Oryctolagus cuniculus: one gene and its partners. The protein of the gene in region 3 interacts with the protein of the main gene of each other region in a pairwise test. Links are inferred from orthologs where the notes say so. Each region holds a gene or a part of one and is shown on either strand. Other genes may lie near its edges.

What was found.
Region 1: the proteins of FLAD1 (region 3) and REL interact in binary tests that used the Homo sapiens proteins (3 or more experiments, as listed by UniProt). The two-hybrid records come from large-scale screens. The link is inferred for Oryctolagus cuniculus from reciprocal best matches to the Homo sapiens genes FLAD1 and REL.
Region 2: the proteins of FLAD1 (region 3) and PRTFDC1 interact in binary tests that used the Homo sapiens proteins (3 or more experiments, as listed by UniProt). The two-hybrid records come from large-scale screens. The link is inferred for Oryctolagus cuniculus from reciprocal best matches to the Homo sapiens genes FLAD1 and PRTFDC1.
Region 4: the proteins of FLAD1 (region 3) and CDKN1A interact in a two-hybrid assay, tested with the Homo sapiens proteins (2 studies listed by BioGRID and IntAct). The link is inferred for Oryctolagus cuniculus from reciprocal best matches to the Homo sapiens genes FLAD1 and CDKN1A.
Region 5: the proteins of FLAD1 (region 3) and SDCBP interact in binary tests that used the Homo sapiens proteins (3 or more experiments, as listed by UniProt). The two-hybrid records come from large-scale screens. The link is inferred for Oryctolagus cuniculus from reciprocal best matches to the Homo sapiens genes FLAD1 and SDCBP.

Annotation. Positions count from the first base shown.
Region 1 is NC_091433.1:141,782,546-141,786,787, forward strand, and holds part of REL (proto-oncogene c-Rel), read right to left. Parts: intron 3,544-4,242; coding exon 3,439-3,543; intron 3,331-3,438; coding exon 3,118-3,330; intron 1,792-3,117; coding exon 1,723-1,791; intron 1,595-1,722; coding exon 1,529-1,594; intron 1-1,528. UniProt on the Homo sapiens protein: Proto-oncogene that may play a role in differentiation and lymphopoiesis.
Region 2 is NC_091444.1:104,725,387-104,729,628, reverse strand, and holds part of PRTFDC1 (phosphoribosyltransferase domain-containing protein 1), read right to left. Parts: intron 2,498-4,242; coding exon 2,391-2,497; intron 1-2,390. UniProt on the Homo sapiens protein: Has low, barely detectable phosphoribosyltransferase activity (in vitro). Binds GMP, IMP and alpha-D-5-phosphoribosyl 1-pyrophosphate (PRPP). Is not expected to contribute to purine metabolism or GMP salvage.
Region 3 is NC_091438.1:43,528,380-43,533,283, forward strand, and holds the start of FLAD1 (FAD synthase), read right to left. Parts: upstream 3,024-4,904; 5' UTR 2,983-3,023; coding exon 2,921-2,982; intron 2,712-2,920; coding exon 2,489-2,711; intron 1-2,488. UniProt on the Homo sapiens protein: Catalyzes the adenylation of flavin mononucleotide (FMN) to form flavin adenine dinucleotide (FAD) coenzyme.
Region 4 is NC_091436.1:132,894,359-132,897,366, forward strand, and holds part of CDKN1A (cyclin-dependent kinase inhibitor 1), read right to left. Parts: intron 1,634-3,008; 5' UTR 1,623-1,633; coding exon 1,178-1,622; intron 1-1,177. UniProt on the Homo sapiens protein: Plays an important role in controlling cell cycle progression and DNA damage-induced G2 arrest. Involved in p53/TP53 mediated inhibition of cellular proliferation in response to DNA damage.
Region 5 is NC_091437.1:83,781,263-83,785,504, forward strand, and holds part of SDCBP (syntenin-1), read left to right. Parts: intron 1-1,272; coding exon 1,273-1,448; intron 1,449-2,285; coding exon 2,286-2,457; intron 2,458-4,241; coding exon 4,242-4,242. UniProt on the Homo sapiens protein: Multifunctional adapter protein involved in diverse array of functions including trafficking of transmembrane proteins, neuro and immunomodulation, exosome biogenesis, and tumorigenesis.

The DNA of each region.
Region 1 (4,242 bases), on a different chromosome or scaffold from region 3:
TTAATGCCCTGGCCTGCAGTGCCTGCATCCCATATGGGCACTGGTAAGACCTGGCTGCTCTACTTCTGATCTAGCTCTCTGCTAATGTGCTCTCATAGCAGAGAGCTGGATGGGAAGTGGAGCAGCCAGGTCTCAAACAGGCCAGGGCATTAACCTGCTGCACCACAGCGCTGGCCCCTGATTCAGTTTTCTGCTAATGTGCACCCTGGGAGGTAGCAGATAATTGCTCAAGTAGTTGGGTCCCTACCACTCACTGAGAAAACCCAGATTAAATGCTTAGATTATGGCTTCGATTTGGCCCAGCCAAAGCTGTTGAAGGCATTTGGGGAGTAAATAAGTGGATAGGAGATCTCTGTCTTTTGAAGTAAGTAAAAATAGGTGAGCTAATTTTAAAAAAAATAATGTAATGGGGGAAAAAGACTACCAATTAATTTTTGGTTGTATTTTCTAAACCAGGGCTTGGCAAATTTTTTTCTGTAAGGGACCACATAGTATTTTAAGTTTTGTGGACTATATACACCCTCTATTAGGATTATTCCAACTCTGTTGCTGTACTGTAAAAAAGAGACTAGTTGGAAACAATATATAATGAAATGACTGTGGCTGTGTTCCAATCAAAATTTTTAAAAATAGATGACAGGGCCAGCACTGTTGTATACTGGGTAAAGCCACCACCTGCAGTACCAGCATCCCAAATGGATGCTGGTGTCCCAGCTGCTCCACTTCAGATCCAGCTCCCTGCTAATGTGCCTTGGAAAGCAGCAGAAGATGGCTTAAGTCCCTGGGCCCCTGCACCCACATGGAAGACCCGGAAGAAGCTTCTGGCTCCTTCAAATAACTCAATGAATGAATGAATAAATTAGTAAATATCAAACAAACAAAGGGTGATGGATGACACTGGCTTAAAAAAAAAAAAATCGGGGCTGATGCTGTGGTGAGTGGCCTAAGCATCCTCCTGCAAGGCTAGCATCCCATATGGGCACTGGTTCTAGTTCCAGCTGCTCTTCTTCTGATCCAGCTCTCTGCTATGGAAAGCAGTGGAAGATGGACTAACTGCTTGGGCCCTGGCACCTGCTTTGGAATCCTGGAAGAAGCTCCTGGCTCTTGGCTTTGGACCAGCTCAGCTCCAGCCATTGCAGCCAACTGGGGAGTGAACCAGCAGATGGAAGACCTTTCTCTCTCCCTCTCTCTCTCTGTAACTCTACCTCCCAAATAATAAATAAAATCTTTAAAAAAAATAAAAAATAAAAAAGATGACCAGCCAGATTTAAACCATTTCTTCCATGATACACTACAATTAATAATACCACCAAATAAATAAAATACAATTTCTTAGACAGTAAATCTGCAAAACATAATCTGTTTTCAGGGCAACTTTCAGGTACTGAGCTCAATTCATTCAATAATGAAAGCCTAAAAAAGTTTACAGGAGTGTTTAACAAAGAAGCAGTTACTCATTCCTAAAAATGGAATTCTTATATAAAATATTAGTCTGATGACAAGCAATATACTGTTGGGGATAAAATACCTTTTTTGATGAATCTTCCTTCTCCTGGTCCTCGGAAACCTGGTCTTGATCTCTCAGGAAAATTAACTGTTATGATAAAGTTTTCCCATTATTAAGTATAATTTGAAAAATAACATTATCAGTTAAAATTTGAAAAAAATGAAAAGCAAAATATATAACCTACATAAATATGAATCAATACAAAATACACTTACCGCAATCCTGCCACAGTTTGTGGAAAAGTAAAGTAGTTTTTTGTTTCTTTGATTTATTGCCGTAAGTATCTGATTAAAAAAGAAATGAAGAAAGCAGGTGAATCACCATGATTATGTTTCCTCTCCATTAATAAACAAACAGGCGTTTTATTTCAACAAGAATATGAAAATGCTTTAAATAAATGTACATAGTATGGACTTAGTAAGTATAAAAGTGTAAAGAATGTCCCAAACCAGTGGGAAAGAATATTTTATCGTGTAAAAATGTTTCAAATATTTATCTTGTTTGCTTCTAATACCTATAAGTTAACAACATCAACTAATAAAAAATGTTCTGATAAAAGAGCCAAAACAAAGACCAGTCTGAGTGGCAAGTTTCCCCTCTTTTAAAAGGATGCACAAGAGAAAAAAATAGAGCCTCAAAAATAAAACAGAAAATTTGATAAACAGCTCAAATACTCAAACAATTCCAGATTAATCAAACCTAAGAAACAGATGTAAAGCATGTAAAGGAAAAAAAAAATCAGAGCAGGTGTTTGGCAAAGTGTTAAGTTGCTGCTTGGGATGTCTGTATCCCTTATCAGAGTGTTTGGTTTGAGTCCTGGCTATTCCACTTCCAATCCAGGTTCCTGCTAATGTACACCATAGGAGGTAGCAGGTGATGGCCCAAGTAGTTGGGTTCAGGACCATCCATGTGGGAGACCAGAACTGAGCTCCAGGCCTCTGGCATTAGCCTGGTTGAGCCCTGGTTGTTGCAGGCATTTGAAGAGTGAAATAGCAGATGGAAGATCTTTCTCTCTGCCTTTCAAATAAAATGAGTATTTTTAAAAATAGAGGAATAGAAAAAAAATGAAAACTTTCAGGAAAAGAAACATACATTAATAACACGAGGTTTCAAAGAGTTCATGGAAAGGGGGCAGGTGTTTAGCCTAGCAGTTAAAGATGCTCGCATCCCACGTTGGAGTGCCTGGGTTTGATCGGTTTCCTGGCTCTAGCTCCTGACTCCTAGTTGTTAATACAGACACTGGGAGGCAGAAATGGGGGCTCACATAATTGGGTCCCTTCCCATGTGGGAGACCCAGATTGAGTTCCTGGTTCGGCCTAGACCCCAGCCCTGCCCCAACCATTCTGAGCATCTGAAGAGTGAACCAGCAGTTGGGAGCTTTCTTTCATTCAAATAAATTAAGAAATGTTTTAAAGATTGTTTTGAGAGGCAGAGTTATAGACAGAGAGAGGGAGAGGCAGAAAGAAAGGTCTTCCATCCGCTGGCATACTCCCCAAATGGCTGCAATGGCCGGAGCCAGGCCCATCCAAAAGCCAGGAGCCAGGAGCTTCTTCCAGGTCTCCCACGTGGGTGCAGGGGCCCAAGGATTATGGGCCACCAAAATGTCATACCTTTTTCATCTGGCAGATATCTAAAATCCATAGATTCACTAACTTCCTGGTCAGAAGGTCTCCGAAGCTGCATTTTTACCGTTACTGGTTCTGTGATAGCTTTGCAATATGGTGGAGTTTTGAAAACAATGGCTACTTGACGGTGTACATCAGCTTGTGAAAAGATGCCTTTTGCTTCCCAATCATTCAATACAAAACGAACTTCTATGTCATCTAGTAAATAAGAAACCAAAGAAATAACAAAGGGAAAACAAAATAAAATCCATCTATTAATCTAAAAACATTCTGAATTTAATGAACCAAAATACAAAAATGAAGTACCTTTTTGAACTTTGTCACAAAGTAGAAATATTTCATCTCCTCCTCTTACACTTCCGCAGTTCTTGTTTACACGACAAATCCTTAATTCTGCAGTATTTGGAGCACCTACAAAGAAACAATTTTTAAAATACGAGTTTCTACCTTGGTAAAATATTTCTTTTTGAAGGGGAGGACTTGAGGAAAACTATTTAAAGAATGTTTCAGCATACAAATAAAAGATACTAAACACATTAATCATCCACATCTGTCCCTTTCTTTTCTAACTGCTTCACCTAACTTGGTTTAGAGCTTTATGATGTTATTTCTAGGAAATGATAAGTACTCCTTGCTGCTAAATCCTGATTCTTCTAATGCATCCTACATACTGAAGCCAGATTCATCTTAAATCATGACCATATCCCTAAGACAATATGATTTTCATGCTTTTTATTATCTGGCCAACATGATTTTATTAATTTTCCCTGGCATTCATGGTTCTGTCTTTATAGCCCTATGTCCCATTATCTTTTTAAACGCGAAACAGGTGAAGGTACACACAATGAGTACATGTACAGGGATGAAATACTTTGTAGAGCAGCTTTACAATGATAAATATATCTACCTTTTGATCTAGCATTTCCAAGAACTCTACTTCTAGAAATGTATGCTAGAGATGGGGCTGGCGCTGTGGTACAGCGGGTTAATGCCTTGGCCTGAAGCGCCGGCATCCCATATGGATGCCAGTTTGAGACCCGGCTGCTCCACTTCTAATCTAGCTCTCTGCTTTGGCCTGGGAAAGCAGTAGAGGACGGCCCAAGTCCTTGG
Region 2 (4,242 bases), on a different chromosome or scaffold from region 3:
CGTATTTTTGCCAAAATTTCTGTATCTCTGATACACTCACATGTGTTTTGACAATGGGGAGAGTTGGCAGCTTGGGAAATGTACAGTTTCTCAGGTTTATTTGGTCAGGGACCTTTTCTCCCTCTGAGGATCAGACCTGCTTTAGCAATCTATGGGAAACCACCCTAGGCCAAGAAAAACCCCAAACCACAGCTTATCGTGTATTATACTGTAAGTCAGGAGAGGAAACATCACGCCTGTGGAAGTTCCATCCAATGGCAAATCTCAGAATTTGGGGGAATGAAATTCCTCTTGGCTTCCCGACAGACTGATAGGATGGTATTAACACAAGTACACGGGCCAGCGCCGCGGCTCACTAGGCTAATCCTCCGCCTTGCGGCACCGGCACACCAGGTTCTAGTCCCGGTCGGGGTGCCGGATTCTGTCCCGGTTGCCCCTCTTCCAGGCCAGCTCTCTGCTGTGGCCAGGGAGTGCAGTGGAGGATGGCCCAAGTGCTTGGGCCCTGCACCCCATGGGAGACCAGGAGAAGTACCTGGCTCCTGCCATCAGATCAGCGCGGCGGCCATTGGAGGGTGAACCAACGACGAAGGAAGACCTTTCTCTCTGTCTCTCTCACTGTCCACTCTGCCTGTCAAACACACACACACACACACACACACACACAAGTACACGGACAAACTATGCAGGGCGGCCGCTGGGTGTAGTGGTTAGGACCCCACTCGTGATGTCCATATCCCATGTATCACAGTGCCCGAGTTCAAGTCCAGGCTCTACTCCCGATTCCAGCTTCCTGCCAAGTGCACCCCGGGAAGCACAGCTGGAGCTCAAGCACTTGGGCCCCTGCCACACACAGATGGAGTCCCAGGCCTCTGGCTTCGGTCTGGCCCAGCCCTGGCTGCTGCAGCCATTTGGGGAGTGAACCAGTGAATGGAAGACCTCTCTGTCTCTCCTTTTGTCTTTCTGCCTCTCGAGTACAACAAGTAAACAAAAAACTATGCAAGAAATTCAAAATTCTTTTGCACCAAAATAAATTTAATCTTTCAACTTCCACTCTTCCATGAACTTTCTGAAGCTCCCTCCTATCCTAGGAACCATGACCGTTGAATGCTTTTTAACTTTTCTTTGGCTTTGAGGAGCTATTTATTAAAGTTAGAGCTGAATTCAGAAAGCTTTTTTATTTTTTTAACAGATCAAAAATATATAAAAGCAGAGATACTATGGTGTAAGCAAAGGGTTGCAGTGAGAAGTCAAACTTCTCCCTATTGCTGACTTCACCCCAAATTCTGGTCCCCCGAAGAATCCGCAGGGTTCCAGAGAGTTTCCCCTGAAAAGCAGGATGCTTGTTCACCACTGACATGTGCAGGTCACGGCCAGCACGTGGCCTCCCAGGTTAAGCTGCCACCTGCAGTGCTAGCACAGGCGCTGGTTCGAGTCCCGTCTGCTCCACTTTCAATTCAGCTCCCTGCTAATGCTCCTGGGAAAGCAGTAGAAGATGGCCCAAGTGCTTGGGCCCCTGCACCCATGTGGGAGACCCAGATGAAGCTCTGGGCTCCTGGCTTTGGCCTGGCTCAGCTCAGGCTCTTATGGCCATTTGGTGAGTGAACCAGTGGACAGAACACCTCTTTCTCCATCTCTCCCTCTCTATATAAATCTTTCAGAAATAAAGAAACCTGCAGGACTCTGTACTTGACCTTCGCACCAGAAATCTGAGGCCCACAGAAAGCAACTCAAGTTCTTGGTGCTGATGCAGGCTTGTTAAGGATCTGACCTATTAATCATTGGTGTGGTAGGACTGAACAGGAGGAGCTAAGTGGGGGTGACACAGCACAGGAGAGAAAATGTTGGTTTCAGGACAGGCCATCAGCAAGGAAGAAGCCAGAGGGTAGGGATGTAGACACATCAGGAAAAAAAAAAGATTCTGTTCTAGAACTCGTTCTCAGTATATATTTTAAGCTGCAAATACTACTATTCCCACCAGTGGTTAGAAAACGCCGCTCTCCGCACACCAGCCCACCTGGGATGCATGGTTTGGCGCAAGAGAGATCAGCATTGCAGAAAAATCCAGGGGTTCAGGGGGTACCCTAGGAAGTGAAGATTTCCTCCTGTTCCTCCCTGGTTAACTGGGACACAAACCCACGCTTTCCTGGCATGATCATCTGTAGGGGACCCTGTAGTCTCCAGACTGTGACAGAACAGCGACACACACACACACATAGCCTTTGAACATCCCGCCTGAACACACACGCAGGTAAACCACTCGGCACACGCCCAGACTCAGTCCGTCCCCAATTTGCTGTCCGACACCACTTCTCTCTGCCACCGTGAAAAGGGACTCGGGCGTCTCACACGATTCACGCACGTGGGCGGGCCAGCCCAGCTCACTCACTCACCTGTCCACGATGATGCCATGCGGTATGAGCACATACTCCAGGTCGCCGGAATAGTGCTGCGGGTACGTGAACAAGTTCAAGTCGTAGCCAGGCCAATCGTCCTTAATCTGCAAGAAGCGAATCATTTCAGTGAGGGTGTTCTGCACTGGGAATTCATCTCGAATCAAACAACGGAAAGGATATCATTTGGAACACAGACAACTGAACACAGGGAATTAGACCCTCTCTCTCCCCCAAGGAAGGGCTCCCTGGGGCCAGGCTGCTTGTCTGCTACAGCCTGATATTTGTTTATGACAACAGATACTTACAATGACCTAATACAGGACTTGGCATTGAAGGAAAGACAGCACTTCACTCCTGAGTCTTGACAGTGTAGTTAAGAATATAAACTCAGAGTCTCATGGCAAACCTGCCAGGACTATTTATATAAGTAAACATGGGATTTATATATAAAATTGTCACAAATATACCACCATAAAGAGTAACTATATACTATGTAGCAGATCATCATGTTACATTAATATATGCATTTTTATATAGGCTATTACATTTCTGCTGGCTCTAAGTAACTCATCTGCCTGAAAAAGATTATCAATTAAAAGTGCATCATTGGGGCAGCGCTGTGGTATAGTGGGTAGAGCTCCTATCTGCAGTGCCAGCACCCTATATGGGCACCGGTTCGAGTCCCAGATGCTCCACTTCTGATCCAGCTCTCTGCTGTGGCCTGGGAAAGCAGTAGACGATGGCCCAAGTCCTTGGGCCCCTGCATCAGTGTGGGAAGACCCAGAAGAAGCTCTTGGTTCCTGGCTTAGGATCGGCGCAGGTCTGGCTGTTGCGGCCATCTGGGGAGTGAACCAGTGGATGAAGACTTTTTTCTCTCTCTCTGCCTTTCAATTAAATAAATATTTTTTTAAACAAAAGTGCATTATCAGGGCCAGCACTGTGGCAGTGGGTTAAGCAGCCACCTGCGATGCCAGCATTCCATTCCAGCTTTCTGCTAACGCACACTTGGAGGCTGCAGCCGAGGACTCGAGTAGCTGGGCCCCGGCCATGCTTGTGGGAGACCTGGATTGAGCGCCTAGATGCCGGCTTCAGCCTGGCCCAGGCCCAGCTGTAGTAGGCACTGGGGAGTGAACCAGCACATGGGAGCTCTGTCTCTCTGCCATTCAAATAAATAACTTGATTTAAAAAAAATAACTTAATGAGACTGGAATGGCCCAGTAATTAAAGCGAAGGTATTGAAAGGCGTGTTCATGTGGGCACTTGAGCCAGGGCTACTGGGGAAGCGCTGGCCTAGCCTAGAAAACGGACCTGTTTGTAGCACGGACCGGGGGCAGCCGCTGCCCCGGCACTCCAGGCGTGAGGTTAGGCTTAGAACAGGCAGCAGGAGGGCAGAAAAGGAAGCCGGGTGGTCACGGAACACAGAGAGCAACGGAAGGGCCACACGCTCAGGGCAAGCCACACCCCAGCTATATTCTCAACTGGCTTTCTTCAAGGTCTCTGCACACCTGCGCCCGACTGTCCAGCCCTGAGTTGTCCAGGCCTTTCCTAATGCAGACCACGCTCCTTCCAGCACAACTCCCCACACCATCCCCTCTGCAGCAGGTGCTTTCTCACAACAGGACAGGGCCCTTCTGAGCTATGGAGCTATCCGGGTTTCCTTCACTGCTCCGTCTGGTGCGCTGACCTCGCTCCCTCCACCTCTGTAATCCAAACCCTACCCCACCCCTGCGCTCACTCCCTCCACCTCTAATTCAAACCCTACTTCACCCCTGCACTCACTCCCTCCACCTCTAATCCAAACCCTACCCCACCCCTGCACTCACTCCCTCCACCTCTAATCCAAACCCTA
Region 3 (4,904 bases):
GGGCAGAGAGGGAGGGGACAGCTGCACCTGCCTAATGACGGGTGCTCTGTTCTTCGGGGGACCCATGACAGTGTCAGCGCCCTCGCTCCGAGCCCTCGTGGCGCAGCCTCGCTGTACCCCCGGCTGTTGTCCACGGCCGCTGAGGCCCTTCGTCCTGCCAACTCTCCTCGGAAACGTCTCCCGGCCTGTCCTCGCTGCCACCAGGCAGGTCTCAGGAGCTTCCACCCGGACACTGGCAAGAGCCTGCTGGCCGGGCACGGGCTCTGCTCCGTGTCTGCTGAGTAGCCTCCCTAAGGTGTCACTGTCCTTGCAGCGCTTGGGGCTCGGCAGCCATTTGTGGTTCCAGCTGTGCACAGGAGAAAGTTCACGTTCCTCTGCAGGCAGCCGGGGCTGTGTAGGCCGCGCACCCTCTTCTTTTCCAGCCCCATCTGCTTCTACTTCCCCACAGAGGATTGACTGGTTAAGAACTTGTGATCCAGGGGCCAGTGCTGTGGCACAGGAGGTGCTGCCTGAGGCGCCGGCATCCTGTATGGGCGCCAGTTTGAGTTCCGGCTGCTCTGCTTCCAATCCAGCTCCCCGCTAATGGCCTGGGAAAGCAGAGGAAGATGGCCCTTGTGCTTGGGCTTCTGCATCCATGTGGGAGGCCCGGGAGATGCTCCTGGCTTTGGATCAGCCATTATGGCCATTTGGGGAGTGAACCAGCAGATGGAAGACCTTTCTCTCTGTCTCTCCCTCTCCCTTTCTGTAACTCTACCTCTCATATTAAAAAAAAAAAAAAAAAAAAAGAAAGAAAAAAAAAGATATATTTATTTATTTGAGAGGCAGTGGCAGAGAGAGAGAGAGAGAAAGGTCTTTTATCTGCTAGTTCACTCTCCAGCTGGTGGCAATGGCTGCAGCTAGGCCAATCCAAAGCCAGGGCCAGGAGCTTCATCTGGATCTCCCATGTGAGTGCAGGGGCCCACGGACTTGGCCATCTTCTACTGCTTTCCCAGACGATAGTGGAGCTGGATCAGAAAAAGAGCAGTCAGTACTTGAACGGGAGTCTATATGGGATGCTGGCACTGCAGGTGGCAGCTTTATCTGCTACACCTCAGCACCAGCCCCATAAACAAATCAAAACAAACAAACAAAAAAAAAAAAAACAAAAAAAACTGTGTTTCAGAGTAAGGGAAAATCAGGCCAGCATCCCATGTCCTCCACTTCCTAGGGCTGTAACTGGACCAGCTTCTCAACATCTCTGAGCCTCAGCTTAATAACCCACTAATTGAGATTCATAATAATAGTAGCAATTGCATGGAGTTATTGTGAGAATTAGGAAAACCAGGCTTGTGACGTAATAAGCACCCTGCCAGCCCCTGGTAAGCTCTGAAAAGATAGGCACTGATATTACTCTTATAACATAGAATCTAACGCCTACTGTGTCCTGTAGTAAGACTTCCTGACCATTCCAGCACCTTCCTTCTAGCTTATTTATCCACTCTGCTGAGTGCTGTGAACAATTTTCAAATAGCCTGGATATAACTTGTAAGAATACAGAACACTGGGACAAGCGCTGTGGCGCAGGGGGTTAGGCCACTGCCTGCAACATCAGCATCCCCTATTGGAGCGATAGTTCAAGTCCTGGCTGCCCTGCTTCCGATCCCGCTCCCTGCTAATGTGCCTGGGAAGGCAGCAGGAGATGGCCGAGTGCTTGGTCCCTGCCATTCTTGTCTCCTAGACCCATGGAGTTCCAGGCTCCTGGCTTCAACCAGGACCAACCCCAGCCGTTACAGCCATTTGGGGTATTAGTCAGTGGATGGCAGATTTCTCTGTTGCTCTGCTTTTCAAACAAATCTTTAAAAAGAAATACAGCCTTGGGGCCGATGCCATGGCGCAGCAGGTTAATCCTCCACCTGTGGCGCCAGCATCCCATATGGGCGCCAGTTCTAGTCCTGGCTGCTTCTCTTCCAATCCAACTCTCTGCTGTGGCCCGGGAAGGCAGTGGAGGATGGCCCAAGTCCTTGGGCCCTGCACCCGCATGGGAGACCAGGAAGAAGCACCTGGCTCCTGGCTTCGGATCAGCGCAGCTCCGGCTGTTGCAGCCATTTGGGGAGCGAACCAACAGAAGGAAGATCTTTCTCTCTGTCTCTCCCTCTCACTGTCTGTAACTCTACCTCTCAAATAAATAAATAAAGTCTTTAAAAAAAAAAAAACACAGCCCATGCACCTGCACCTCTGTTGCTTACTTGGGCTTGCTGTCACTGCTGGGTGGCCCCTCTGCCTTCTATCATAATGCTGGGCAAATTGCAGGGGCTTTGTTACAAGTTTTTCAACAGAGTAATTTTGAATGGATGAGGATCACCGTTCCTCCAGTATGCTGGACTCAGTCCAGAATCCTGCTGCGGCACAGAATCTCCCACCCAGATTCGCCTCCCTCAACGGGATCTGCAGCAGGCCCTTGAGGACAACCCCCACCCCCACCCCCCGCCACGTCCCAGCCCAGACAAACCTTGAGGATCTCATCTCCAACAATGATGATGCCTGCCGTCACGCTGCGCCCCGGGGGAAGGTCAGAAGCCCTAGATGCCATGGTTCTGCCTTCTCTGCCCCTCTGCAGGGCCCTCCAGTAGGCACCCAGACCCCCAAATAGGGGCCGCAAGCACTGGAGGCCCGCCAGGTCTACAGGGCACTGGGGGCCATAGCCTGGGAACAGGGTCCTGGGTCGAGGGAACCTGGAGGAACCAGAAAGGACAATGGGAAGAGAGCAGGAGAGCGTGTTCTTCCCTAGAGGAAGCCCCTCAGTCTACTCTAACCAGACCCCTGACAAGCGACTCCCTCATTCCCGTCTAACAAACGTGTTCGCAAGCCCCTACCCATACTCTTAAAGGTCCTCTAAACTTGGCTCCAGTCTGCTTAAACTGTCCTACTTAAAATGACCTACCACTTTAAACGTCTCGGGTCAGCCGAGCCCGTCTCCTCAAGTGTCTGCTCTATCTTGGGCATCTGCACCTTTAAATGTCTCTTCTGTTCAGGGGGTCGGCCCCTTTAAACGTCTGCCTCAACCTGAGCCTCGGCTCCTTTAAATGCGTTCTCCCCTTCCACCCCCTACCAGAATCCAGCAGCCTTTTCCTGCAGCCGTCTGCACCCTTTCTAGCCCGGAATCCCCTCTTTGCCCACCAATTTTCAAACTGAGTTCTTCTCGGCTCTCACCTGCCTGCTTTACCCCTTCACCGGTGTTTTCCTCTTTCCTTTCCTCATGTCCCGGGACAGCTTCCGTACTCAAAATCCCGCCCTCCCCACAGGTACTTCATGGCGATTGGTCACTTGGGCTGTCCCTTAGACTTCTCTCAAGGTTCCATTGGTGTAGTTGACTGTCGCTCTCAGGCGCTAGCCAGCGAGCGGGAGCAATGCTGGGTTGTTATTGGCGACAACCAAATAGTCACAGCCGCCCGGAAACGCGGGGGCCGGGCCTCAGTCGGCGGGGAGGGCGGGGCCTGGGCCGGCTCAGCGGAGCGGATGAGCTGCGATTGGAGGTGCCCTAAGGCCTTCGGGGCGCTTCCATCTGGAGCTGGAGGTAGAGGGAGGCTGGATGCTAACCTCCGCTCACTCTGTAGTCAGTTTCTCATGTGCCTACGTTCCCCGTTTTCATGCACCATGACCACGTCTGGGCTGAGGACTCGGGGACTGGTACCGGCTCCAGAAGGGATTTGATTTTTGTAGCCGGAGTTGAGAATGATGACCGGTAGTGCCTGTGGAGTAGGCGGCCTGTTGGTGTGTGAAAGCTCCGTTTGCCTCCAGTGTAAACGATGAAGCCAAGCAAACTTGTCCAGATGGTGCTTAGTTCAAACCCTCCTTTCCCTGCCCAGTCTTTGGTTTTGTGGATCCGAATGAGGCAGTGAGTAGGGAGTGTCTGTATCTCTTAGACTCACAGCAGCCTAGCTTATTCCCATTTCGGTTGCTTTTGGTTTAAGTGCATCTTCAACTGTAATGTTTACATCAGTCATCTGGGGACCTTTAAAATGCAGATGCTGATTCAGTAGGCTTGGATGCCAGCACCGTGTGGTGCTGCTGGGCCCTGTCCAAAGTTCCTGCCATTGTTTGGAGGCGTGCTGAACCACACCTGGCCTCATTTTATCCTACAAAATCCCTGTGGATCACATCTCTGTTTGACAGAGAACAGGCTCAGAAAGGTGAAGGGATGCCTGAAACCACAAAACACATGAATGGAGGAGCCAGGCTGCTAGACCATTCTTTCTCAAAAAACAGAACTCCAAACAAGGCGACTTGCCTAATGATAAAGAGCACAGTATCCATGCATCCTGGTGATAAAGGTGAGCGTTTGACCCCCCCTCAAACAATTCTCTTCTGATCCTCTACGAGTTCTCAAGATGAAGTTCACACCAGGATCAGGTGGAGAGCTTGTTGAACACTGCGGGGCTCTCCCCTCCCTTTGGGAGTCAGTAGGTCTAGGGAGGAGCCTAAGAATTTGCATCTGTAACAAATGTTCAGGCGATGTTGAAGCCTGTGTCCAGAAATGACATCTGAAGAACCACTCTTCTAGGAATGAATGGATGGCGGCAGGGAAGAGGGAGATTAAGCTCCTTTACTTTGTACTACCGTTTTCTAAAGCAAAGGGTAAGCTGTTTTTGGTGATATGTTTTCTTAAAGCAACTACTTCACATTTGTTTTCTCAAAGCTCATAACTACTTGCATAAAAATGCTAGAAGTCCCTACGTCAGTTCACACCCCAGACCTATTCAGTCAGCATGTCTAGCAATGACTCAGGCCGCGTCAGTACTTGTGAAGGTCCCCAGGTGATTCCAATGTACAAGTAAAGTCGAGAACCACTGACAGCACCCCCAGGCTGAGGACTGAGTCGCACAGGAGTCTCAGGCAGCACCTGGAGCACACGCGCGGCCAGTGGC
Region 4 (3,008 bases), on a different chromosome or scaffold from region 3:
GATCTGGTTCCTGGGACGCAGGGACCCCTGCACTGGACAGGCCCGCCCCTGCATAGAACTCTGCTGGTCAGCGCTGTGGGAGGCAGTCCACCAGTCCACAGAAAGTGTCCTGGCCCAGGTCCACAGGAGTCATCATTGTCATCACCATCAGTTCAGACCCAACTGAAAATGGCCCACAGGACGCTCGTCTGCACCCCTCAGCCTCAGCTGCCTCACCTACAAAACGAGGCGTGGGAGTGCGCCTCCAGCCCAGCAAGGAGGATGCCTGCCTCCCACACCAGGGTGCCTGGCTTCTATTCCGGCTCTCACTCCCGACTCCAGTTTCCTGCTAATGCCGACTCTGGAATTCCGGGCAGCCGCTGATGGCCCAAGAAATCGGTTTCCTGCGTTCCATGTGGGAGACCTGGATTGAATTCCCAGCTCCTGCCTGCAGCCCCAACCCAGGCTACTGAGGACATTTGGAGAGGGAACCAGCAGAAGGAAGCTTTCTTTGTGTCTCTTGAATGAATAAGTAATAAATTGCAAATGAGGCTTCTCCGTGGGAGTGCACTCTAAGGAGGAAATCAATGGTCTCTCTAAAGGCTTTGGTCCAGGGCCCGGCGTAATAGGTGACCAAATGCCAGCATCACTCATTCACCTTTCATGGAGCACCTGCTCCACCAGACACTGCTCTCCAGGCTGGGGACTCCACAATGAACAAGAGACGCCCAGATCCCTTTTTTGTGGGGCTGATATGCTAGTGGGAGAGACGGCCCGTGTCAAGGTCAGAAGGAACAGTGGATCCAGGGTAGAAAAATGCCGACGAGGACACGGCGGATAGGTGGGGGGAGGGAGGGACGCGTGTGTGATGAGGGGAGGGAATAAAGTTTGCAGAGGCCAGAATGGCGCTACGGCCAGTGTCCTCTCCCCAGCACACGCCCTGCGCGACCTCAGGCCAATCTCTCCCTCTCGGAGCCTCGTCTCCTTGGAAGGGGAGCAAGATTGTCTTCAGTCGCTCAGCAAGGACTGCCGGGTAATAAATACGCCCTGGACAAACGCTGGCTACAGCCCTGTGTGCAGCCTCACCTAGGCGGCTTCCCTTCTCGGGGACAAGCTGAAGCAAACAGGACAGGTCCCGCATGGGGGGGTTCCGAGGGCCCCAGTCCCCCCTAGCATCCCTCCCCACACCCGACCTCACCTGTCAGGCTGGTCTGCCGCCGCCGTTTCCGGCCCTGAGAGGTACCAGGCCCGCCTGGGGACTCCTCGGGCCGTTCCGGGGAGCGAGGTACCAGGGTGCAGGTCAGCGACAGGTCCACGTGGTCCTCCTGAGCCGCTGGCAGCAGGGCGGCTGAGGTGCTCGGCCGCTTGCACCCTGCCGGGTCCTCCCTGCCACCCCGGGGCCCCGGGGCCAGGTAGAGCTTGGGCAGACCCAGGCCCCGCACGCGCTCCCAGGCGAAGTTGCCCTCCAGCGGCGTCTCAGTGACAAAGTCGAAGTTCCAGCGTTCGCGGGCCTCCTGCAGGCAGTCGGCCATGAGTGCGTCGCAGTCTCGGCGCAGCTGCTCGCTGTCCACGGGCCCGAAGAGGCGGCGGCAAGCCTTGCTCCTGTGCGGGGGCTGTGGCGCCTCGTCCGACGGCTGCGACATGCTGCCTAGGGCTGGGACAGTGGAAGGGTGGCCTTGGTGAGGACGCTTCCCGGTTCCCAACAAGGACTTTCTACCGCACCCTGGCTGGGGCGGGGCATCCACCCCCACCCCCCAACAGACCCCAGGTGGGGGCAGAACTCAGCCAGCCAGGCACCCTGACGTCAATGGGGGCATGGGCAGCACGGGGCGAGCTTATGTCCACAGCATGACCTCACTGCAATGGCCTGGCCGGGAGCAGGGTCCTGTTTGCCATCAGCGTTATCAGCTAAAATCAATTTGTCCTCCCCTGAGGTGGCCCTCAGGGGTGTGAATTGCCAGAGTCCAGTAGTTTCCCAGTGATAGTCCTGGCCAGGAAGTCGGTTCCCAGAGGGAGGCGTAGGCAGGGGCTCCTCCAGCCTCCCAACACAACCTCCCCCATCATTCCTGCCTGGAAAAGTGAACCCCGGGCTTTGGAGTAAAAACACGCAGGCTGTCATCCCAGCCCCACGGCTTCCCACGTAGACGTTGCATGTCTCTGGGCCTCCGTTTCCTGGTCTATGGAAGCTGAGAGAGTGCCAGGGTGGGGGCAGGAGTCCCTCCAGGCAGGCCGAGCAGCAGCAGGTGTGACAGGGGCTGGGTTGGAGGGCAGGCTCCGCGGGGCGACCCCGACCAGTGGCTTAGCGTCTCTGCGCTCCCCTTTCCTCCTCTCTAGGAAGAGGCCGGTGACAGCAACAGTCTCAGAGGTGGGGGACATGCTTGGGCAGCACCTGGCCAAGGCGCTGAGAAGACCGTGGTGTTAGGACGCCTCTGTGCCTGCAGCTCTGGCTGGGCCTCCTCCCTGCCTCTCCCCCTCCAGACGGCAGCTGACAGGTGCCGTAGGCTGGGGGCCTTTCCCAAGGATGGCATCAGGTGGGTGGCCTCGGGGGAAGGTGGGGCGGGGTGGCGGTCTCTCCCCCGGCTGAGCCACATCCTGCCAGGCACACCAGGTGAGCCAAAGTCTGGACCCTTCACAGCCCTGCCTGCCTCCAAGAAACCCGTTTTGTGGGCAATGGACATGAAAGATGGCTGGTCCACCCAGGCTGCACACCTCCCACTCCGGAAAAGTGAGGGGGAGTCTGCTCGCGAGGGCGCCCTGCTCTGGCCTGACTCCAGCTTTTCCTGGGGACAGGACCAGATTCACAGGCTCTGGGGGGGACAGCTCTGCTGAAGCCACACCTGCCACACCTACCCCACGGCCCCTCCCACCCTGAGCACAGCCCCTAGCTCCACCATGCAGCTGGCTGGAGAGGAAAGTCACCCAGTGACCTCAGGCCAAGTTCAAAGGGCAGCTGCTTTACGAGATGAGACTTGCATCCCAAACCGCACAGCTAGAAAGGCAAAAGGCCACTGCCCCCCAAACAGGTCCCA
Region 5 (4,242 bases), on a different chromosome or scaffold from region 3:
TTATTCCTGAGGAAACCTTTAGAATTGTGAAAGATGTGCTGTATCTTTACCCCGATTTAAGGTTTTAGCTCTTATCTATTAAATTCTCTATTTTGTTTTTTGTTATTTATTTGATAGGCAAGAGATAGAGAGAGGGACACATACACACAGAGGTAGAGAGCTTCCATTTGCTGGTTTACCTCCCCAGCAGTGGCTGGGACTAGGTCAGACCGAAGCCAGGAGTGTGAAATTCTGAGTCTCCCTTGTGCATGCAAATATTTAGGACATATTTTGCTGCTCTCCCAGGCGCATTAGCTGGGAGCTGGACCAAAAGTGGAGCAGACGGAACGTGAACTGACACTCCCATAAGAGATGCCAGAGTCACAGGTGGTGCTTTAGCCCACCACAGTGCTGACCCCCATTGTAGGTATCTTGGCAGTGGATTTGTGCTCCAGCCAGTGCACACTGGCCCACGTCATGGAATGCCACCTAGTTCTTTCTTACTACCCCAAGGTTAACCAATGAGAAGAATGTGTGATGGCCATTAGCAGTGAGCCAGATTGGAAGTGGGACAGTCAGGACATGAACCGGCATCCATATGGGGTGCAGGCACCACCAGCATTAATTTTACCTGTTATGCCACGGTGCCAGCCCCCATAATGGATTCTTCACAAAGGCTCATGTGGAGGTTAATATGTTTATCATTTTGGGCTGTTAAACTCTGTAATCTTTCTTGATTCTGTATAACTTAGCAAATGAGTAAAGGAATCGATTCCTTCAGCTCAAAAGGTAGAAGTATGACCTTAAACCATCATTTTTTTAAGCTGTAAAAGAATTCACCTGACTTCCAACACTTAATTCACTTCCCACCTTCCATGGGAAACATCTGGCCCATGAGCCACATAAGGCCTGCAGTCCTTTGGTCTGGTACCCTTGCAATTATGATAATGTGCTTATACCTATTTGGCATTGTTGGACTCAGACACTTGATTTAGTTATCCTACTTTATTTCCTTAGTCTTTTTATTTCAAGGTGGTGGAGGGGTGACTGAAGTTGACCTAGTGCATCATGATTTGAGTTTCATTTTTTTTGATTATTCTCTGGGGGCTTTGCCTTGATAAATTCTTCAGTTTGTTTTTAAGGGAGTGAGAGCACATTATATTCCTATTGTTTTTTCTCTTTAGTTTTGGTTATTAGATTTCAACTACAAACAGCTGTTTCCTAATTTTCCAATGTGTTAAAACCATTATTACAGCAGTGGTAAATGACCAAAGTTATTTCCTTATTATCTAGGGTATATTTGTTCAGCTAGTCCAGGCAAATTCTCCAGCCTCATTGGTTGGTTTGAGATTTGGCGACCAGGTACTCCAGATCAATGGTGAAAACTGTGCAGGCTGGAGCTCCGATAAAGCTCACAAGGTGCTCAAACAGGCTTTTGGAGAGAAGATTACAATGACCATTCGTGACAGGTAAGCTGCTGCTAAAAACAGTTCAAATGGAAATTTTCTTTGGCTTTAGGATTCTGTGAATACAGTGTGTTGTTCCAGAAAACTATCAAATGTTACTGATGAGCCTTACAGTCTTGCAGATGGTACAGGTGGTTCTTACGTAGTTTTATTTTTTTTTAAATAGCATTTTGATTTTACAAAAACACCTTACTTCTGAGCTTATAAGAATTTGACCTCTCAGTAGGTATTCTCCATTCTCTTTAGAAAACAAAAGGTGTTGGAAAAGTAGTTACGTAGCATGACATCTCTGGTCTCACTTACCCAAAGTCCTCTGCTAAAGCATACAGTCTAGGGCCTTTACATACAGTGTTAGGATTCCTTGTGAGGGTCAGAGCCTGTGTAGAACTAAGTGGGTTCAGAGTCCTGAAAATGAGATCTGGCCTTATGGGTGGAAGGTGCTATTTTGTAGTTATTTATAATTTTTAATTTAAAAAATTTTTTTCAATTGAAAGGCAGAGCAACAAATAGTGGAGCAGACAGTACATGAACCAGGTGCCCATATGGGATGCTGGCATCACAGGCAGCGGCTTAACCCGCTAGGCCACAACGCTGGCCCCAAAAGAAGTCTTGAGTAATGAGTCAAACCATAATGAAGAGATCTAAAACAAACAAAAAACCACCTTTTAAAACAATAAAAGTAGTCTGTGAATGTATGCTCTCACTTATAGTAAGTTGCTCTTACTAGAAACATTTTGCCTTTATTGTAACAAGTACCCAGTATGGCAGAGCTTATTGCATATGAAATCTATTAAAATGTTTATCCTGAATTTAAATTTTTAATTGAACTCATGTTTATAGGCCTTTTGAGCGGACAATTACTATGCATAAGGACAGTACTGGACATGTTGGCTTTATCTTTAAAAATGGGAAAATAACATCCATAGTGAAAGACAGTTCTGCAGCCAGAAACGGTCTCCTCACGGAACATAACATCTGTGAGATCAACGGCCAGAATGTCATTGGATTGAAGGTACGTGACAGACCTTGTGCCTCACGGTCATTTTGCAAGTGTCTTTTTCTTTGACATGTTTTCGTACTTCCAGAATAGAGAAACTAAGTGGACAAGGGGAGACATGAGACAGATTTGGGGCTCTGGCATAAGCTAGCTGAGCTCTTTGGCTGTTACCAGGTTCTCTCTGCTGTTACCTAGATTTATCATTCCTGTATGAGGAGGGGTATCAGAAATCTGAAAACAGAGCTACCACATGACGGCCGTCCCACTCCTGGGAATTTATCCAGATGAAATGAAATCAGCATATGAATTATCTGCACCTCCATGTTTATTGCATCTCAGTTCACAATAGCTAAGATAGGGAATCAACCCAGATGTCCATCAACCCATGACTACAGAAAGAAAATGTGGTATATATATGCACTATGGAATATTACTGAGCCATAAAGAAGAATGAAATCTTTTTTTTTAAGATTTTATTTATTTGAAAGAGTTACAGAGAGGAGTTAGAGACAGAGATAGAGGTCTTCCATCCACGGGTTAACTCCCCAGATGGCCGCAACGGCTGGAGCTGTGCCAATCCGAAGTCAGGAGCCAGGAGCTTCCTCCAGGTCTCCCATGTGGGTACAGGGCCCCAAGGACTTGGGTCATCTTGTACTACTTTCCCAGGCCATAGCAGAGAGCTGGATCGGAAGAGGAGCAGCCGGGACTAGAACCGGCGCCCACATGGGATGCCTATGCTGCAGGCCAAGGCTTTAACCCACTGTACCACAGTGCCGGCCCCGAAGAACAAAATCTTTATCAACAAAATGGATGCAACTGGAAAGCATTATACTTCGTGAAATAAGCCAGTCCCAGACAGACAGTGTTTCCCCAATCTGTTACAATAGATTACAAAAAATGTATATGACCAAAATTGACATTTTGAGATTTGATTATTTATAGCCCTTGTTTCTACTGTTGAGGAAAAGTGATTTTTTTCTTCTTACTATTAAATTCTTTAAGTACTGGAGGGTTAAGTTTATGATTATAAAATAAAGTATGTCATTGTAAAAATTTTAAAAAAGGAAGAAGGGTGGGAAGTATGACTGTGCTCCTAAATGTGTATATATGAAATACATGAAATTTGTTCACCTTATATAAATTATTTTTAAAAAGGAGTGGTAGACAAAAATGTTTTGTGAAGTCCCTGGAGTGAACTTTGGTGAAGGACATGAGCAGTGATTTTCATGACTTTCTGAATGAATATTTCCCCAGCTGTTTTTCAGTACAGGAATATAGGAAATGAGTAAAAGCTTTGGATCACGTTCATACCTTTTAGTTTTTTCTCCTCCTAAAATCCCTAAATATGAGGGCACTTCAAAATTTTTGTGGGAAAATGGAATTAAAAGTTTTTAAGTCCCTACAGATTGAATAATACACTTGCATGAACATTTTGAATTCCCTTAAGTCTGTCTTAAGGTCAAAATGTTAATTAAGACCTGCCTATGTCATAAAGTTTGGCTGAGTGTACATGGTTAACAGAAAAGATAATTTTCCCCATATACAGTACCACAATATTACCTGAAATAATGAAAATGTGACTTTTTTCTAATATATTCAACTCAGTTTTGTTACTATCTATAAAACTGCTTTCTATAGAATAAAACTTGGTAAGGAAAACTAGAAAAATAACAAATATCTTAGTGTTTTAGACATGCTAGCCTAACATAACAAGAGGTATGGTGTATATTTCTTTACCAAGAATAATTTTTTTTATTAAAGGCTTAGTAAAATTAATTTTCATTATGTGTTTTCATCAGG